5 linked regions of the Sus scrofa genome follow. The protein of the gene in region 1 interacts with the protein of each later gene in a pairwise test. Links are inferred from orthologs where the notes say so. Each region holds a gene or a part of one and is shown in the gene's direction. Other genes may lie near its edges.

Region 1 (3,514 bases):
AGTGTTCTCCATGTTTTAATGTCATTTATGCTACTGTAATGTAAGCAAATTTCAGTTGAGGTATCTTTTAGGATTGAGGACTTTGGGAAAGATGCATTGCATTTCTTGCTTGGGAGGAAACTTCCTGAAAAGTTGTCATAGTCGTCATAGTCCTTATTATGTATGAAACCTTGACTGTGACTGGTGTGTCATGAGATAGACCCCAGATTTTCTTGTTTTCCTTCTTCATTTTCCATAGCATAGGGCTAAGATAAATAAAATCTTCCACTTACACATGTGGGGAATGAAGCGAGTTAAAGTATAGTGATCTTGGTATTTGTGACATACGCTGCTATTAGAGTGTGATTTAGAGCCATACTGTCCAGTGTGGTAGCTACTAGCCACATGTGACTCCCTAAGCTCTTGAAATGGGTTAGTCTGAATTGAGTTATGCTCTCAGTATAAAATACACAGTGGATATTGAAGTCTTAGTATGAAAAATATCTCATGGGCATTTAAAAATGACTTTTTAAATCACAGAAATTGCTTACATGTTGAAATAATACTTTTGATATTTTGGGTTAAATAAAGCATATTATTCAAATTAATTTAAAATTTATTTTCATGTGGCTACTGGAAAATTTAGAATTATATAGATGGTTCCTGTTTCTTTCTTCCTTTTTTTTTTTTTTTTTTTTTTTTAGGGCCGCACCTGCAGGATGTGGAGGTTCCCAGGCTAGGGATCTAATTGGAGCTGCAGCTGCCGGCCTACACCATAGCCACAGCAACGTGGGATCCGAGCTGCGTCTGCGACCTACACCAGAACTCAGGCAATGCCAGATCCATAACCCACTGAACGAGGCCAGGGATTGAACCCACATTCTCATGGATCCTAGTTGGGTTCATTAACTGCTGAGCCATGAAGGGAACTCCCTCTGGTCCCTGTTTCTATTGGATAGCTCTATCAAGAGTATAAAGTGGTTTGCTAGAATTACAACTTAATATTCTCTGACTTGTACAGTATGAAATTTGGAGACGTAGTATATGAAGTAGAATTATAATTCAGCATGTCCATGCAGATTACTCTGATTTATTTAAATTTATTTGCATTTTGGAAAACTAGCAAGTGTTCTCAACAACTATTTTAAAAGCCAGTCAGAGTTTTAACAGGTGCGCCTGGGCTGTCAGTGAAACTTGAAAGTGCAGAAGGGAAGATTATTGTGAATCACTGGCAACTGTAGGTACTGCTCCTCCATACTTAGCAGGTTGAAAAGGAATCCCAGCCAGCTGTAGGGTGTGCAACGCCAAGGGAGGGGACAGGGAAGGTCTCCCTAATGTCAGTTTCTGAAAGAGCTTTTGGTCAGATCCAGATCTTACTCTTTCTGGCCAGGTGATGCCTGTGTGGTACAGTTCACTCTGACCCCAGTGTAGTTTACCTCCACGTTCAGAGTTGACTGAAAGTGACTTGAGAGGGATTTATGAGGCAACAAGTGGTCGGAAGAATTTACTAGGTTTTGTTGAATAAATAGAAGGTGAGAACGTAAAGCAAGAACCACTTATGATCTTTTATGTCTGAGAACAAGTCGGTAGAGTGGCAAGGAGGGAATCTTGCCCTTTAAGATTTACAACCACTCATATTCTTTCTGTTCAAGGTGTTTTTCACATTGGATACTTGGCTGGGAATTTCAGTCAGTTTAGAAGTTTGCTAAATAAGATGGATGTGATTTTTAGCTTTAATACTTAAAAATATCCTACTGAAGTTATCTGTTCCTTAAGAATTGAATTGGGGTGAAAATTGGATTTTTGGATTACAATTCTGCCTTGATTTTGTAGATTTCCTGTTTAGTATCAGAAGTTACAGATAATAGGGTTGCAGAAACCTAATTTTTGTTTAGTTTATTGTGTTAATACTGTAACAGACATTACATTGTGTATTGATAGGGCTTAGTTTTGACGAGGAACATTTTCATTGGTTATAGATTTCATAGTCATAAAGCAAATATGGGTTAACACTTGAGCATAATCAGATAATGAGGTGGTTAATAGAAACCAATAGATCATAGTATACCAAAATTGAGTACAGCAAAACATAATTAACACGATAACTTGAAGTAATTGGGAGAGGGTATGGCTTTATAAAGAGTAACAATTTTAAGTAATATGTGAAAATGCTGGTTACTAGCACATGCCTGTGGATGAATGCTGGATAAAAAATCAGATTTTACAGTATGTTTTAGATAGGGTTTTTATAATGCTTGAGGCTGACTTGGCTTATATCCCTTTTTTTTTCCTTTCCTTTTAGAATATGGTTTCTAGTTTTAGGGTTTCTGAACTACAAGTGTTACTAGGCTTTGCTGGACGGAATAAAAGTGGACGCAAGCATGACCTCCTGATGAGGGCGCTGCATTTATTGAAGAGCGGCTGCAGCCCTGCGGTTCAGATTAAAATCCGAGAACTGTATAGACGCCGATACCCACGGACTCTTGAAGGCCTTTCTGATTTATCCACAATCAAATCATCGGTCTTCAGTTTGGATGGTAGCTCATCGCCTGTAGAACCTGACTTGGCTGTGGCTGGAATCCACTCGTTGCCTTCCACTTCAGTTACACCTCACTCACCGCCCTCTCCTGTTGGTTCAGTGCTGCTTCAAGATACTAAACCCACCTTTGAGATGCAGCAGCCATCTCCCCCAATTCCTCCTGTCCATCCTGACGTGCAGTTAAAAAACTTGCCCTTTTATGATGTCCTTGATGTTCTTATCAAGCCCACAAGTTTAGGTAAGTGGTAGAGAAATCAGTTTCTTCTGGACAAGCGAGTAAATAAAGCAAGAGGCCTTCAACTATTAATGGTTTGCTATTAATAGTATAAAATTGAGGCATTAAAATGCCAAATGTCTAAATGTATAGATTTAAAAAAATTGGGAGTTCCCATCATGGCTTAGTGGTTAACGAACCCAACTAGCATCCATGAGGGCCAGGGTTCAATCCCTGGTGTTGCTCCGTTGGTTAAGGATCAGGTGTTGCTGTTAGCTGTGGTATAGGTGGCAGACGTGGCTCAGATCTGGTGTGGCTGTGGCTGTGGCTGGCGGCTGTAGCTCTGATTAGACCCCTATCCTGGGAACTTCCATGTGCCATAGGTGCGGCCATAAAAAGACCCAAAAAAAAAAAAAAAAAAAAAAAAGGCAACCATGACAGAAATCTAATATAAAACTTTTATTGATCAAGCTTTCTTTTTATAGCTTAGAACTCAAATTGCTTCTGTGTGTTTATGGACAGATGCAAATCTTATTTATTGCCTATGATTTCCACCTTTTGATACTTTTGATATTTTTACAAAAAGACTTCGTTTCTGTTTAACAGTTTCTGCTTTTAAACTGTTTTCCTAAGAAATAATCCTTTTATACTTTTTCCTAAAGTGACAGCGTTTGAGACATGCTTTATTTTTTATTTATTTATTTATTTTTGTCTTTTTGTCTTTTCTAGGGCTGCACCTGCAACATATGGAGGTTCCCAGGTTAGGGGTCTAATTGGAGTTG
Region 2 (4,022 bases), about 32 Mb from region 1:
TTGATACCCTATCCACCCTCACTCTGCCTAAAAAAAAAAAAGAGTATTGTATATACTTAAACATTATTTGCCGCTTTCACATAAATAAAATGCCTTTAATGTGAATGAAAGGATACAGGCAAATAAACAGCTAACTAAAAATTGCAAGTGTTATAAGCAAGTGTGATTGAAACATAATGAATCAGATTGTTAACTCCCAAGAGAGAAAGCAGTATATTTTTAGGAGCCACCAATAATGTGTTAGTGAGACCCAACTCCTCCAGGACTTGCTCATAATCTAATGGTTCTGTTCTGCTCTTTCCAGCTGGTGTTTTTTAACATCCCCTTGATGGCTTACCTGTGTTGGAGTTTGCTGCAGCGGTGCTTTGGTCACAACTTCAGGTCTCATCTCCGTCAAGGAAAATACTTGAAAATTATACCTGTTCATCTACTTATGTTACTGCTGTACATCTGGCAGATTTATTCCTGCTACTTTCTTCATATGACATATGGCACTCTAGCTTTATTATTCTCCCCTTTGCGGACCTGGCTGACACTGGTGACACCTGTTCTCATTCGTTGTGTGTGGACACTGAACTCCACAGAGCTTGGAACCTTCATAGTGCAGTTAAAAAGCCACCTGAGTTCCTGAAGGCCATGTCTCATCATCCAGCTCTAGCCCAGGCCTCTGCCCCCCGAAACAGGCGGAAGGCCAATACTAGTAGGCAAGCTTCAGGGAGCTGCTGTTTCTTGGCCGCCTGGGAGGTGGGGGGATTCCCCACTACTGATTTCCTGCATAATGGACTGCAGGAAAAAAATCTCTAAATAATGCCATGATTCCTTCCTTCCCTAAGAAGGCAGAAGGTTGATTTACTTTTGTGAAGAGAGAGCCCTAATCTAGGAGATCCACAGGGCAGGAGCTGGTGTGTTTGGTAGTATGTGAACCCAGTGTTTTTTTAACGTTACCTCATGTAAAGTACCTAGCACAGTGTCTGGAACTCAGCAGGGGACAAGGGCGCCACCACTTGAGGGGCAGGGAACCAGTGCAAACTTGGGCCTGACCCTGACTACCCTTGATTAGTTCCTGGTCCTCTTTTCCCACAGGGTTCTCTGCTTCCTCTGTCGGAGGTGTTTGCCACTAATCAAATAAATGAATAATGAATAAGAAATAACTCTGCGTCGCCTTGCGTGTGTGGTCAGGGCCCGGCGCGGGGGTGGAGTCACGTCGGGGCGGGGCGGGCGGCTTCTCTTGTTGCCGGAAGCGAACCCGCATCCGTGACGCCCGGAAGTGGAGTGGCTACTGCTGTGCGGCTCAGGCGGCTTCCGTGGCAGCTAAGTACGCTGGCTCCCAGAGTCCTACTGGGATGGCGAATGCAGCTCCCCCTGATGCTCCAGTCCCCACCCTGGCTGTGCCTTTGGAGCAGCTCCGGCACCTAGCAGAGGAGCTTCGGTTGCTCCTTCCTGGAGTGCGGGGTGAGCTGACACAGTGGAGACGGACCCCCACAGGGACCGGCGTGGGTAGGGAGAAGCCGGGCCAGGGCGGCGGCGGCACCAGGGAGCGAGGGATGGGGGAGTCGGGGGAGGGGAGGGCGGCAGGGCCCGGCGGGAGCGGAGGAAATGGGGGCCTCAGGTAGCGCCGCTTACCTCTGCTCTTCCTTTTGCGGTGGCCCGGCCCACACGCCGAACCCACTAGTCGGCGAAGCCCGGGAGACTACCAAGGAGTTTAATCGGGAGACCTTTTGGAGAAGATTCAGTGAGTGCCTCTCTTGTTGGAGACTGCCATCTCTCATCTCTTCAGTTGTCCCTGTCCCTTTCCTTCCTGCTTTTCCCCGGCCTGTCCCCTCTGTGGGGATACCTCATCTTACCCATTCTCGGCATCTCTGAGGTTGAGATTTAAAACACTGATTTTTGGAGGTGTTTTGAGACGTCTAAGCCGGCAAGGGTGGAGAGGGAACGTGTTATCTTCACAGCCCGTCCAGCAGCTGCAGCCTTATCCGTTTGGCACTAACATACTGGCTTCTGCCTCCTCCTCTGACTCTTCCCAGATGAGGCAGCTGTGACAGTGTCCACGGAAGCCACTACTCTGACCGTAGTCTTTTCCCGACTTCCACTGCCATCTCCTCAGGTGGGCTTTACTTTTCTGGAATCCTTGTAGTGCCTCTTTATTCTTTAGGAATCCTTTCATTTTCTTTCATGTTTTACACTCAAAGCAAGGGATTTCTTTCTTCCTTCCTCCCACCCTCCCTTTCTCCCGGACTTCCTTCTTTCCTCCTTTCTTTCTTTCCTGCACCCGCAGCTCTCGGAAGTTCCTAGGCCAGGAATCAAACATGAGCCACAGCAGTGACAACACCAAATCCTTAATTGCTAGGAGATCAGGAAACTCCTTAGCGTGGAATTTAGTTTTCTCATCTGTCAAGTAAGATTGCATATCTTATTGACTTCATAGGAACATTAACCTCAAGAGTTCTCATATCACAGGAATATTCTGAAAACCAAGTTGTCAGGTGCAGTACTTGACATGGAGTAGGCAGCTCTTCTAAACATTGGTTCTTTTTTTGTGTTTGCTTTTTAGGGCTGTACCTGTGGCATATGGAAGTTCCCATGCTAGGGGCCAAATTGGAGCTGCAGCTGTCAGCCTATGCCACAGCCACACCAGATCCAAGCCAGTCTGAGACCTACACCACAGCTCATAGCAACGCTGGATTCTTAACCCACTGAGCGAGGCCAGGGTGAAACTCGAGTCCTCATGGATACTAGTTGGGTTTGTTACCACTGAGCCACAACAGGAACTTCAGTGAGTTCAATGAGGTTCAAAATGAACCTCAATATTGGTTCATTTTGAGGTTCATCCTGGTTATTTCCTTTCTGATAATTTTTTATTTTAAGCACTTGCTATTTACTGGGTGTTTTCAGATACATGATCCCTATTTGACAGATGAACAAGCAGGCTCAAAGGCTTCGGTTAAGGTAGATAAGTAGGGGTGCTAGGATTAAAATTAGGTTCTGGGATTCTCTTGTGGCTCAGCAGGTTAAGGATCTGGCATTGTGACTGCTGTGGCTCTGGTTACAGCTGTGGCAAGTGTTCCATCCCTGGCCCAGGAACTTTGGCATGCTGTGGGCCCAGCCAAAAACAAAAACAAAATAAATTAGGTTCTGTCTCATGTCTAAGCTACACCTATTCTGTTATACTACAAAACACCTTTTTTATATTGAATTATTTTTTATAATTAGTAACGATGAATTAGTATAAAATTCAAAAGATATCAAAACCTAAATTAAGTGTGCTGAAAAGTTTATATCTCCCCTCGCTTATTCCTTTTGTGTTATTCCCTATATATACTATGAATATACCCACTTAACGTGTATGTGCCTACTTCTTCTTATGGTAAAATATCTTAAACATTTTTCTGGACTTTCCTTTTTTTTAAAAAAATTTAACAACATAGCTTGAAAATTGATTTTTAGAAGTAGGTATAAAGTTGCTCAATTCTTTGTAATGGCTGTGTGATATTCAATAGTGTGGATATAACTATAGTTTATGTTTGTCTTTTTTTTTTTTTTTTTTTTTTGGTCTTCTCTAGGGCTGCACCTGCGACATATGGAGGTTCCCAGGCCAGGGGTCCAATTGGAGCTGTAGCTGCCAGCCTACAGCACAGCCACAGCAAAGCCAGATCCAAGTTGCATCTGCAACCTCCACCACAGCTCACAGTGGAGCAATCCTTAACCCACTGAGCGAGGGCAGGGATCAAACCCGCATCCTCATGGATCCTAGTCGGGCTCCTTGCCACTGCACCATGATGGGAACTGCCAACCATAGTTTATTTAACCAGTACTGTGTGGACATTTAAGCTGTTTCCAACTTGTAACTGTTATAAACAGTGCTGTTCTAAATTGCCTAACACAATCTTTGTTTATATCTGTATATCAGTAAAAATTCCTAAAAATGGAATTGCTAGATAAAAGAGTGTATGCTTTAGTGTAAAAACCTTGAAAGTAAATATTGTTGGCTGTGGCCAGGTATGCTCTATGTCCAGTATTTCTTG
Region 3 (3,514 bases), on another chromosome or scaffold:
TCGCTCTTTGGTATTATAGATTTCCTTTAGTAACTACAAAGGCATTTTACTAGACCCTTAGGCTAGTGTAATAGAATACTTGAAAATGCAAGCAGCCTCTTAGGCTCTGCATTGAGCACCTTTCAGCCCATTCCTGGCAATTACATTTTTCCTAAATCGTTAAGGTGTTCTGAATTCCCTCCCGTGTATCAGTATGGAGAAGAGGACTCTTAGGTGAAGTGTGATTGCTCCCTTGAAATGGTTTGAAGGACTAACAGACAATAGATTGGGCTTTCTCTGTGTAGTTACATGTAGGATGAATAATAATGCCTAAAAAGTCAGAAAAAGGTAGATTATGAGACTGATGCACTGCCTACTGCACTAAGGAGGCAACTAGAAGAAGGTGGATTAGCTTTTGGTTTCATAACAACTGGAAGTACTTAGCAATGGTGCCAGTTAGCATGTGGAGTAGGGTAGTGAGGTCCCCATCACTGGAAGTATGTAAGCACTCTCAAGCCAAGATTCTACAACAGGATAGTTCTTTCTCTATCACCAGGCAAAAAGTGTTCCTTATCTGTCACCAGACATTGTGGTGAAGGTTAATAATGTGTTCACTTATTTATTTTGATAATACTTGAAATATCTAAGGATTGTTTAGAGGACAGAAACCAAACACATTACTTTGGGTAGCCAGATGACAGGAAAACCTGCTTATCATAATATGATAATATGTAGTAGTATCTTCTCTTCAGAGATGCTTGTTCCATAGGGTTTTTAAATTTGTTTATGCTGGAGTATAGCTGATTTACAATGTGGTGTTAGTTGAAGGTGTACAGCAAAATAATTCAGTTATACATATACATATATCCATTCTTTTTCAGATTATTTTCCCATATAGCTTATTACAGAAAATTGAGTAGACTTCCCTGTGCTATACAGTAGGTCCTTATTGATTATCTACTTTATATGTATAGTCGTATGTATCTGTTAATTCCAAACTCCTACTTTATCCCTCCCCACTGTGTTTCCCCTTTGGTAACCATAAGTTTGTTTTCCAAGTCTGTGAATCTGTTTCTATTTTGTAAATGAGTTCATTGGTATCTCTTCTTTTCTCTTTTTTTTTTTTTTTTCGATTCTACACATAGGTGATATCATATGATATTTGTCTTGACTTACCTCACTTAGTATGATAATCTCTGTGTCCATCCATGTTGCTGCAAATGGCACTATTCCATTCTTTTTATGGCTTAAGTAATATTGCATTGTGGGTATGTACCACACATTCTTTATCCAGTCTTCTGTGGATGGGCATTTGGTTTACGTCCCATGTCTTGGCTATTGTAAATAGTGCTGCAGTGAATATTGGGTGCATGTATCTTTTTATATTATGGTTTTCTCTGGATATATGCCCAGGAGTGGATCATATGGTAGTTCTATTTTTATTTTTTTAAGGGACCCCCATAATGTCCTCTATAGTGGTTGCACCAATTTACATTCCCCACCCCCCGCCACAGTGTAGGAGGGCTCCCTTTTCTCCACACCTTCTCCAGCATTCTTTGTAGAGTTTTTGATGATGGCTCTTCTGACTGGTGTGAAGTGATACCTCATTGTGGTTTTGATGTGCAGTTCTCTAATAGGGATGTTGAGCACCTTTTCATGTGCCTTTTGTCCATCTGTATCCATCAGAGTTTTAGTGGATAGAATGAAGCCCTTACATTACTAGAGCATGAACTTTAAGACCTTTGACTTTAAGACAATTTCTCCATCCTACTCTCTAGCCCTCTGTCAAGAGAAGAGGGAATCGTGTGCCATTCCCTGTATTCTGATAGCACGTTTTTGGTCCTGGGCAGTGGAGGAGATGACAGGGAAAAGCATTTGTGTGTGACTGTCACAGAGACACAGTTCACACACAGACTGTCTGGTCTGACACCTTGTGAATGTATCACTGGGTTTTGTGTGTATCACTGGGAAGTACTGGTTCTCTGGCTCTAAACGACGCATCTTCCAGGCTAGGCTTCCATGTGACAATAAATCTGTGAAGATACATTGCCCAGGCCACCTCCAGATCTAGACTCCTGTTCCTGATTATACATGTTTGCCTAGAGATCAAAGAAACCAAATCCTTTGGAACTGAACTGTCATAAATGGAGTGCCTGCTTTGTGCTGGGGGTCATGGATACAGAGGTGATTAAGACACAGCCCTTTTCCCTCTAGCTGTTTCCTGGGCAAGGGCAATTTTCTAGTTACTTCATTTATGGAAGGAAAAAGGAAGCAAGATCTTGGACCAGCGAGGGATAGGCCTGGAGAAAATTACTCCCCATCTCCCTTTTGGCTCAGATCCAGGGTCTCAGCTGCAGCCTGGAACATGAAGGTGAAGCCTTTGCAACACCAGGGCTCAGGCCCACTGTGTGGCAGCCTTTCCCAGTGGAGCCATTTCAGTAAGAAGGATCATGCCCCCACCCCAGGGACTCTGGCTGGCACTGTGCCCCACCTTCCTCTAACAACCCACCCTTGGCCTTGGGTGTTCAACCCACACAACCCTTTGTCTCTTCACAGACTCTTTGGTGGGAAGCCTGCCAAGCAAGTGCCCATCGCCACAGCCGAAAACATGAAAAACTCAGTGGTCATCTCCAACCCTCATGCCACCTTGAGCCAGCCAGGTAACTTAGAGTCCCCCTCGGGCAGCGGCGTCCTGAGCAGCGGGAGCAGCAGCCCTCTCTACAGTAAGAATGTGGACAGCACCCAGTCCCCTCTAGCCTCCAGCCCCAGTTCCGCCCACTCGGGCCCCTCCAACAGCCTCACCTGGGGCACCAACGCCAGCAGCTCCTCGGCCGTCAGCAAGGATGGCCTGGGCTTCCAGTCGGTCAGCAGCCTCCACACCAGCTGCGAGTCCATTGACATCTCCCTCGGCAGCGGAGGGGCACTGAGTCACAACTCCTCCACCGGCCTCCTCGCCTCCTCCAAGGACGATGCCCTTACCCCCTTTGTCAGAACCAACAGTGTGAAGACCACACTGTCTGAAAGGTTGGTGCCGTGCGCTTGGCTGCCTTTACCTCCCCAAAGACGCCCTTTCAAGAGCCAGAAGATTACGTTAGGAAGCCCAGAGGTGAATTCACCTTGGCTACAAGATTTCTCTCTGATCACTGCCATCTTTCCACGGGGCAGCCAGTTTGGGGGTGGAGTTAAGCCCGGCTCTGCTTCCTCTTATCTTTCTCATTGTGGTTATTCTTAGTGCGCGGAGCGGCTAGAAGTCTCAGGGGGCAGATGTCATACTTCCATGCAAAACGGCTTTCCGCCTTTGAGGTCCTTCCATTTTACTATGCTTGTTTGTCCACTGCGTCTTTCTCCACCCCTCGTGGTTGCGCAGGCGCAGTAGGTGGCGGCGGCAGCCTTGGAGCGTGGGGGGCGGGGTACCCCTTAAGCAGCTAAGCAGATGCGCTGGTCCTCGGGGCCAACACCGTCTTACCGAAGGGCTGCGGGCCAGTGTGATGGAAAATCAGGAAACCAGAATGGTCCTCAGAGCTCTGAGTCTCAC
Region 4 (3,969 bases), on another chromosome or scaffold:
GGGAAAATTCCACTCAAACTTTTAAGTCAGAGGCATTATCTCTGAGAGATTTGCCATAATTCCCAAGGCTGGATCAGAAACCCCCTCTGCTGGACTCCCATAGCTTCCTGTGCTCCTTTCTCCTCTAGCATTGCATAGAGATGGATTTATCACAGAAATAATATAACTAAAAGTTTAAGCCTCTAGTAACTCACACTTACACAAGACACTTCCAAGCCCCTGGTTGTTGAGCATTGTCAATTTGAGACAATTATTGCTGCACAAAAACAAAGTACCATAAAATTTTATAGCTCACATGTAAAAGAAACTAGAGGTTTCCCCAAATTTAACACAATCTTAAATTTTATTCTACTAACAATGAGCTGTGAAGTTGAAACTTTTCTAAACTACAATAATAAAAAATTTTGATCAACTGAATGCAATTGAATTCTTTTTATTCTCTCTTGAAAATGTTATTATAAAATAATTGTCCTATTTATTTACAGGAAGATATCAAAATGTTGGCAGCCAAAAAAAAATAATAAAATAAAAAATAAAGGAAAAATTAGTAGAGAGGTGAGTCAGGCAATTATTTTATTTCTCTAGTTTTGAGGATGTTTGTGGTATTTGTCAGGTTTTTTTAATTGGAATTTGTAGGAATTCCCTAGTGGCTCAGTGGGTTAAGGATCAGCATTGTTAATGCTGTGGCTCTGGTTACTGCTGTGGTGCCAGCTGGATCCCTAGCCTGGGAACTAACACATGTCACAGGCATGTTCCCCCCCCCAAAAAAAATTGGAATTTGTAAATTTAAAAATTTCTTTTATAAATCTAAAGCTATACTTACTTGCACACCTAAATTTGTACTATTTTTCTTAAAGAGGGCTTACAAAATTCTATCTGCCTCAGGCCCTTCAAAGTGTGGATTCACCCTGAGCACTGATCATAATTTTGGTCCTTGCCCTGCTTTAGTTTCAAGTCATTTCAAGACGTCTTCCGATTTTTTTTTCTTTGACCCATTAGTTATTTAGAAGTGTACTAATTCCCACCTATTTGTGAATTTCACAAATGTCTTTCTGTTATTTATTTCTTTTTTATTTTATTTAATCAATCAATTAATTTATTTTTTAGGGCCACACCTACACCATATGGAGGTTCCCCCGCTAGGGGTCGAATTGGAGTTGCAGCTGCAACGCCGTATCCAAACTGTGCCTGAGACCTACACCTTAGCTCACGGCAACGCCAGATCCTTTAACCCACTGAGCGAAGCCAGGGCTTGAAGCCGCATCCTCATGGAGATGAGTCGGGGTCTTAACCCGCTGAGCCACAGATGGAACTCCTAGGATGCATTTCTAAATGCAGACTTTTAGGCTATGCTACCTGAGGTTGCTTCCTCTGTCCTTTATCTTTAATAAGTTCCTCACATCTTTTCTGCGCAATACCCACGGGTCCGGAACTCTCGGCCCCAAGCGTCTTCCACTTCTTGAGTAACCCGGGCGGTGTCATCGATTACTCGACAGACTTTTCTATTGCTCTAGTCTTGCTGCCAGATCAGCGGAAAGGGAGAATCTGCGTTCTCAAGCTTGGCTTCCTACTCCTTCTGCCTGGGCGGTGCTGCGCAGGGATTGGCCTGCTTGGGCGTCACGTGGTCCGCAGCAGGATGATGGCGGGCGCTGCAGAGGAGTCTCTAACGCTTTTCCGGGCTGGCATCCGCGCAGCGTTGGAGGCTTGGCCCGCCTTGCAGGTGAGCGAGGACACAGCTGGAACAAAGGTTAGGGACCGGGCCAGAACAGGAGTTGGCCGGTGAGCTGCCCAAGGCTTAGTTGGTTGGGCGGCGTCAGAAGCGGACCCTTGCGCCACCGCAGGCCGGTTCCTGGGCTGACGTGGTGGGCTCGGGCCTGTGTTCGCAGATCGCTGTGGAGAACGGCTTTGGAGGTGTGCATAGCCAGGAGAAGGCTGAGTGGCTAGGGGGTGCAGTGGAGGAGTATTTCTTCCGCAATGGTGAGTGAATTTAAGGCCCTAGGACTTGTTTAGGGGCGCGGGGAGGAGGGCGGTCTTGGTGAATCTGCACTTCCTCTTGAACAATTGTCTGCTGATACCAGAGTCTGAATCCTGAGTTCGAGTGCCTTAGGGCCATGCCATTGACTCCTTGTATCGCGTTGGATATGTCGTTTTACTCCCCTGAGACTCAGTTTCCTAATTTGTAACATGGATATGAAAGTATCCACCAGCGCTGTCCAAATCGAAATATAATGCCAGTCACATCATGTAATTAAAAATTTTTCAGCAACCACTTTGATATAAAAAGCAGGTGAAATGAATATTGTTCAACTCAATATATCCAAAGTATTTCAACATGTAATCAATATAAAACATTATTAACGAGATGTATTACATTTTTTTTTAGTATTAAGTTTTCAAAATCTGGTGGGTGTTTTGCAGTTTTATCACATCCCAATTTGTCTTGGCCTAGCCACATTTTAAGTGCTCAGTAACCACATTTGATTATTTGGACAGCAGAGATCTACACCTTTGATGTGTCTTGTAGGTTCTATAAGAATAGGGGCCCTTTAGGTGATCTTTTGTGAAGTATGATTTTTTTTAAATTATTCACTTAGTTTTCTTGGCCTTGGAGATGGCATTAGGCAGAGACCTTTCTCTGAAAAAAATTTATTATTTGGTGAGGGATCTAGATAAGTAAATAGGTTTTTACTCACAGGGTGGTAGGTGTTCTAATAAAGATCTCAGGGTGCTTGGGTAATGTGAGACTGAGGAAGAGGCTTCTTTTGGAGATTGTTAGGGTAAGGTGGCTTTTGGGTGAGTTTTAAGGGATGAGAAGGAGTTAACTAGGTGGGAGAGGCAGAGCAACACTCAAAAATAAGTTCTGTGGTATGAGGAGATTATGTGTTATATTTGGAAAGTGGCAGGGAGCTCAGTGTTAGAGTAGGGCTGTATGGTGTGCTTGTGGGGGTGTGGGAGGGGGGAGTGATAGAGAATGAGGCTGGAGGTTGGTTGGGGAGGCCCCTGGAAAAGGGTGAAACATGGAAGGATTTGTGGGCCTTTGATTTTATCCTTTAGGCCAGCATTTGTCAAAAATATATGCTATGGAAGACTAGTTCTTTTTAGGTGTTCAGTGAAGAAACCACTTCTCCAGTCACATGATATAAAAAAAGCTCTTCAGCTCTTAAGAGTCACCATAATCATTATCATATTAAAGGTTCTGATAAGAACCACCAAAAAGAAACTTGTTTACCATGATTTTTCTATGAATAGCTTCCCTTAAAGTCCAGCAGGACAGTTACGTCTTATAAGCAGAATATGAAACACTGCAGTAGGAGATAAAACTTCATGAGCAGGATTTAATAGGATGGGGTTTACTGGCTATAGAAAGTAGCCAGTATGGGGTTCCCGTCGTGGCGCAGTGGTTAACAAATCCGACTAGGAACCATGAGGTTGCGGGTTCGGTCCCTGCCCTTGCTCAGTGGGTTAACAATCCGGCGTTGCCGTGAGCTGTGGTGTAGGTTGCAGACACAGCTCGGATCCCGAGTTGCTGTGGCTCTGGCGTAGGCCAGTGTTTACAGCTCCGATTCGACCCCTAGCCTGGGAACCTCCATATGCCGTGGGAGCGGCCCAAGAAAAGGCAAAAAGACAAAAAAAAAAAAAAAAAAAAGTAGTCAGTATGGAGCTTGGACTGGAGAGGGAACAACTGATGAGAAGACTGTTTCTGTCTTGAAGATGATGAGGCAGTGGCAATAGTTACGGAAAAGAAGGGGTGGATTAGAATCTTGGAAATTGTTTGGCTGTAGAGGAGTGGGGGGGGGCATGAGGCAGGTTTCTGGTTTGAGTCGTTGCGTGGCTCAGATACCTTTTATGGAATAGGAGAACCCTGGAGGATTGAGAAGTAGGTTTGGAAGGTAAGGTGATGAATCTGGCTTTGGGAAAGGAGGGTCTGAGGCACCCTCTAAATAGGTGGAGAGTAGTGTGGATTGGAGA
Region 5 (4,059 bases), on another chromosome or scaffold:
CAACCAGATAGAAGGGGTGGATGGATCTGAAATCTTGAGGGGCAGCAGGGTCCAGGTTCCTGGCTCCCAGTTTGGACCCACCGGCTCCTAAGTTCCCAAACCCATCCATCTCCAGAGGGCTTTCCCAGCTTCTCAACCTGATGCGTGGGAACTTAAAGGAGATAAATCTCTAGCGTGTGAGCGAGGTGAGGGGGTGGCCAGGGAAACAGCGTGTCACAGGAACAGAGATGGGAGGTGGGACAGCCAGCTCATTCATAACTGCTTTGTGGAGCTGTCAAGGCCTGGCTCTGGGGGTGGAGGTGCAGGGAGGCTGAGCCAGGACAGCGGCGGCATGAGCCTAATGAGACTGAGAGCGTCTCAGGGAGAGGACCAGAGAGTCAGCGCCTGACCCCCTTGCCCTATCAGGGGGCGCACGTTCCTTCCGTTGTCCCCACACTGCTGGACAGAGGTCTCCATTGACCCTCCGGACAAAGGGCTGATTGGGATTCCAGCCCACGGCCCCACAGCTCCAGGCGGGGGATGGGGAAGGTGGGAATGCAGACGACTGGGTTCCGAGGGGAGGGCTCCAGGGGGCCATTGAGAATGAGGCTGGCAAAACCCACAACCCAGGCTGTTCCTTGAGGGTAGGGAACAGGTTTGTTCTTCAAATTCCCAGCGTCTAGCGAGCACTGGAAGGAGAATACGGAGCGAGGAAAGGCCTGGGATATGGGGTCTAAGAGTTAGAAGACAGGGGACTTTCTGCTGTGGCTCAGCAGATTATGAACCCCAACTAGAATCCACGAGGACGTGGGTTTGACCTCTAGCCTAACTCCGTGGGTTAAGGATCCGGCGTGGCCGTGCACTGCGGTGTAGGCCGGCAGCTGCAGCTCTGATTCAACCCCTAGCCTTGGGAACTTCCATATGCTGTGGGTGCAGCCCTAAAAAGACAAAAGAAAAAAAAAAGTTAGAAGACAGGTCAGAGGTCATCAGGTCCAGCCCTTCCCTGACCCAAATCACAGAGAAGAGGTCTCCTTGCCCAGGGATCAGGTCCCCAGACCCAGCATCAGCCCCACGAACTGCCCACTGGTTCCTCTGTCTGCAGCCAGGCCTGCCTCTGGGCAGTGACCCCGATGGGGTGAGAGGCGCTCTCCTAACGGCTGGGCTGCAGCCCAGCCCCACCCCCTCAGGCTATGCCAGGGGGGCGTTGCCAGGGGCAGCCTGGGCCGTGCCAGGCCGGCCCACTCCTCCATAAAGCCTGCACATCCCCAGGGGCAGCAGAGCCAGGCCAGGATGGAGAGGAGACGGGTCACCTCAGCGGCTCGCCGCTCCTATGTCTCCTCCTTGGAAACGGTGGGGGGCGGCCGCCGCCTGGGTCCTGGCCCCCGCCTGTCCCTGGCTCGAATGCCGCCTCCACTCCCGGCCCGGGTGGACTTCTCCCTGGCCGGGGCCCTCAACACTGGCTTCAAGGAGACCCGGGCCAGTGAGCGGGCAGAGATGATGGAACTCAACGACCGCTTCGCCAGCTACATCGAGAAAGTGCGCTTCCTAGAGCAGCAGAACAAGGCGCTGGCTGCCGAGCTGAACCAGCTGCGGGCCAAGGAGCCCACCAAGCTGGCCGACGTCTACCAGGCCGAGCTGCGAGAGCTGCGGCTGCGGCTCGACCAACTCACCGCCAACGGCGCCCGGCTCGAGGTGGAGAGGGACAACCTGGCGCAGGACCTGGGCACCCTGAGGCAGAAGTGAGGAGGGGGCCGTGGAGAGGGGCTGAGGAGGGGGCCTCGTGATCAGGGAGGACTGAGCTCCCGAGGGGGAGCACCTGCAGGCAGGCAGACCTGCAGGGTCTCAGGCAGGGGCTCTGCCTCTCTGCCCCCCGGTTTCCCACCTCTGGGAGGGGAGGGCTCTCCTTGCTCCCCAAGGTGATGGAGGGTCTAGGGGAAAGGAGGCCCAGAGTCTCAGGCGTCTGGTTCCCAAAGACCTTCCTCCAGGGAGCCGGGGTATTCCCAGAGCTTCCCTGCTGAGGAAAGCTGTGCGGGACAGTCAGAGACCCCAGCAGGCAGGGGTCTCTGCCTTTCTTTCACTGTAGGGCCTTGTGACGGTGGACGGGGGGCATGCTGTGTGAATGTGAGCCCAGATCTGTCTAAAGGAGGAGCTGGAAGGAGATTTGGGGTGCACCAGGAGGACTGGGCTCGAGGGTAAAGGAAATAGGGGAAAGAGCAGGCAGGCCTGGCTTCAGAACACAGGCAGCTCTGCCTGTCACCAGCTTATGACCCTAGAAGGACACTTCAGCTTGCACAGCTGTGAAGTGGAGACCTTAATAAAACCCATTTCTAAAAGTCAGAGGAAACCCCAGGGCCATGGTGCTAGCCAAACTTGCAGGGGATGCGTGTGTGCCCTCAAGTGCTGGAGGATGTGTGTGTGTGTGTGTGTGTGTGTGTGTGTGTGCGCAGCAGTGATTGTACATTGGTGGAAGCACCTGTGTAAGCAGGAACAGGTGCACCAACCCTGATAAGCACCTTGGTAATGAGTTCAAGCCAAGGCCTTTGTCTGCTCAGCCTCCTGGCCAAGACTCTGCCTAGGATCATTCTGCCCCCCTCACCCACTCCCTCTGCCACTCCACTGGTCCTGGGAGTAGGAGGGGGAGGCAGAGGATCCCTCTGGAAGCCACCTCTAAGGAGACTCTGGGCAGGGGTCCAAGAGTCTTCAGAAGAACCTGGACCCAGGAATGTGTCCCCTTCCCCCAGGCTCCAGGATGAAACCAACCTGAGGCTGGAGGCTGAGAACAACCTGGCCACCTATCGACAGGTCAGGGTGATGGAAGGGAGGGACCAGGGAGGGGGAGAGTGTTGATGGCAGCCCACCCAACCAGAGCCCCCAAGCCCAGGCCTCCGGAGCAAAGGAGGGATCAGACGAAACCAGGAAGGGGAGAGGAGGAGTCTGGAGTCAGAGCAGCCCCTTGTCCCCCACCCTACTCCAGGAGGCGGATGAAGCCACCCTGGCCCGGCTGGATCTGGAGAGGAAGATCGAGTCTTTGGAGGAGGAAATCAGGTTCTTGAGGAAGATCCATGACGAGGTAAGGCCAGGACAGAGGGAGGAAAGGCCCACACAGAGAGGGGAACTGAGGGAAAGAGACAGAGAAACAGAGAGATTGAGACAGAGATATTCAGAGACAGAGAGAAAGAGACAGAGGAGGTCCTGTGTGGCTCAGCGGGTTAAAATCTGGCACAGTGTCCATGAGGATGCCAGTTCTATGCCTGGCCTCGCTCAGTAGGTTAAGGATCCGGCGTCGCTGCGAGCTGCGGTGTAGTTCATAGATGCAGCTCGGATCTGGCCTTGCTGTGGCTGTGGTGTAGACCACAACTGCAGCTCCAATTTGACCCCTAGCCTGGGAACTTCCATATGCCTCGAGTGTGACCCTAAAAACAACAGAAAGAGAGGGAGATTGACAGAGGAAGAAAATGAAAGAGAGAGAGAGAGAAGACAGAGAGAGACTGAGGGAAACAAAGATAGAGATAAGAGACCCCCGGCCCAGCCCCCGGCCCCTGGTAAAATGCACACAGACACAGACTCCACTTACTGAGAACTGCAATGGGCCGAGTTGCCTCCCGCTTTTCTTCAGGGCCGTCCTGTGAGACAGGAACTCTCCCAGTGTTGTCTCCTTTTCACAGAAGACACTGACGCCCAGAGAGGTTAAAGAACGTGCCAGTGTCACCCAGTTAGTCTCTGACTCCAGCCCCTCTGCCGCCTGTCTCCATTCACATGACAGCCACTCACGTGAAAAAAAAAAAAAAAAAGACCACTAAGCTCTGACTTCAGATTATGGCTTCAGAATCTGTGACTTTATGGAACCTGGGAACCCATAGGCACACCCATTCCACAGGGACTCGGTCACTCTCCCAGGGGATCACAGACTCACTGTCTTCCGGGCCTGAGAGGAGCACGTTAACTACCCCAAACTGCCCCTAGCCTGGGTCATGCCACTTCCTCTGACTAGGCGTGCCCCATCTCCCTGAGCCAACATCCGTGTCTGAGGGCAGCAGAAGAGAGCATGAGGCCGTAGGGACACTCCAGTGACAGCCTGGT

What was found.
Region 2: the proteins of PIAS2 (region 1) and CCNDBP1 interact in binary tests that used the Homo sapiens proteins (3 or more experiments, as listed by UniProt). The two-hybrid records come from large-scale screens. The link is inferred for Sus scrofa from reciprocal best matches to the Homo sapiens genes PIAS2 and CCNDBP1.
Region 3: the proteins of PIAS2 (region 1) and NAV2 interact in binary tests that used the Homo sapiens proteins (3 or more experiments, as listed by UniProt). The two-hybrid records come from large-scale screens. The link is inferred for Sus scrofa from reciprocal best matches to the Homo sapiens genes PIAS2 and NAV2.
Region 4: the proteins of PIAS2 (region 1) and TSR2 interact in binary tests that used the Homo sapiens proteins (3 or more experiments, as listed by UniProt). The two-hybrid records come from large-scale screens. The link is inferred for Sus scrofa from reciprocal best matches to the Homo sapiens genes PIAS2 and TSR2.
Region 5: the proteins of PIAS2 (region 1) and GFAP interact in binary tests that used the Homo sapiens proteins (3 or more experiments, as listed by UniProt). The two-hybrid records come from large-scale screens. The link is inferred for Sus scrofa from reciprocal best matches to the Homo sapiens genes PIAS2 and GFAP.

What each region holds. Positions count from the first base shown.
Region 1 is NC_010443.5:96,514,777-96,518,290, reverse strand, and holds part of PIAS2 (E3 SUMO-protein ligase PIAS2), read left to right. Parts: intron 1-2,281; coding exon 2,282-2,756; intron 2,757-3,514. UniProt on the Homo sapiens protein: Functions as an E3-type small ubiquitin-like modifier (SUMO) ligase, stabilizing the interaction between UBE2I and the substrate, and as a SUMO-tethering factor.
Region 2 is NC_010443.5:128,266,719-128,270,740, reverse strand, and holds the start of CCNDBP1 (cyclin-D1-binding protein 1), read left to right. Parts: upstream 1-1,216; 5' UTR 1,217-1,343; coding exon 1,344-1,497; intron 1,498-1,672; coding exon 1,673-1,732; intron 1,733-2,024; coding exon 2,025-2,104; intron 2,105-4,022. Other genes in the region: TMEM62 (transmembrane protein 62), read left to right, coding at 305-631. UniProt on the Homo sapiens protein: May negatively regulate cell cycle progression. May act at least in part via inhibition of the cyclin-D1/CDK4 complex, thereby preventing phosphorylation of RB1 and blocking E2F-dependent transcription.
Region 3 is NC_010444.4:39,331,669-39,335,182, reverse strand, and holds part of NAV2 (neuron navigator 2), read left to right. Parts: intron 1-2,535; coding exon 2,536-3,003; intron 3,004-3,514. UniProt on the Homo sapiens protein: Possesses 3' to 5' helicase activity and exonuclease activity. Involved in neuronal development, specifically in the development of different sensory organs.
Region 4 is NC_010461.5:47,185,451-47,189,419, forward strand, and holds the start of TSR2 (pre-rRNA-processing protein TSR2 homolog), read left to right. Parts: upstream 1-1,159; 5' UTR 1,160-1,636; coding exon 1,637-1,720; intron 1,721-1,886; coding exon 1,887-1,977; intron 1,978-3,969. UniProt on the Homo sapiens protein: May be involved in 20S pre-rRNA processing.
Region 5 is NC_010454.4:18,455,026-18,459,084, forward strand, and holds the start of GFAP (glial fibrillary acidic protein), read left to right. Parts: upstream 1-1,255; 5' UTR 1,256-1,269; coding exon 1,270-1,718; intron 1,719-2,720; coding exon 2,721-2,781; intron 2,782-2,953; coding exon 2,954-3,049; intron 3,050-4,059.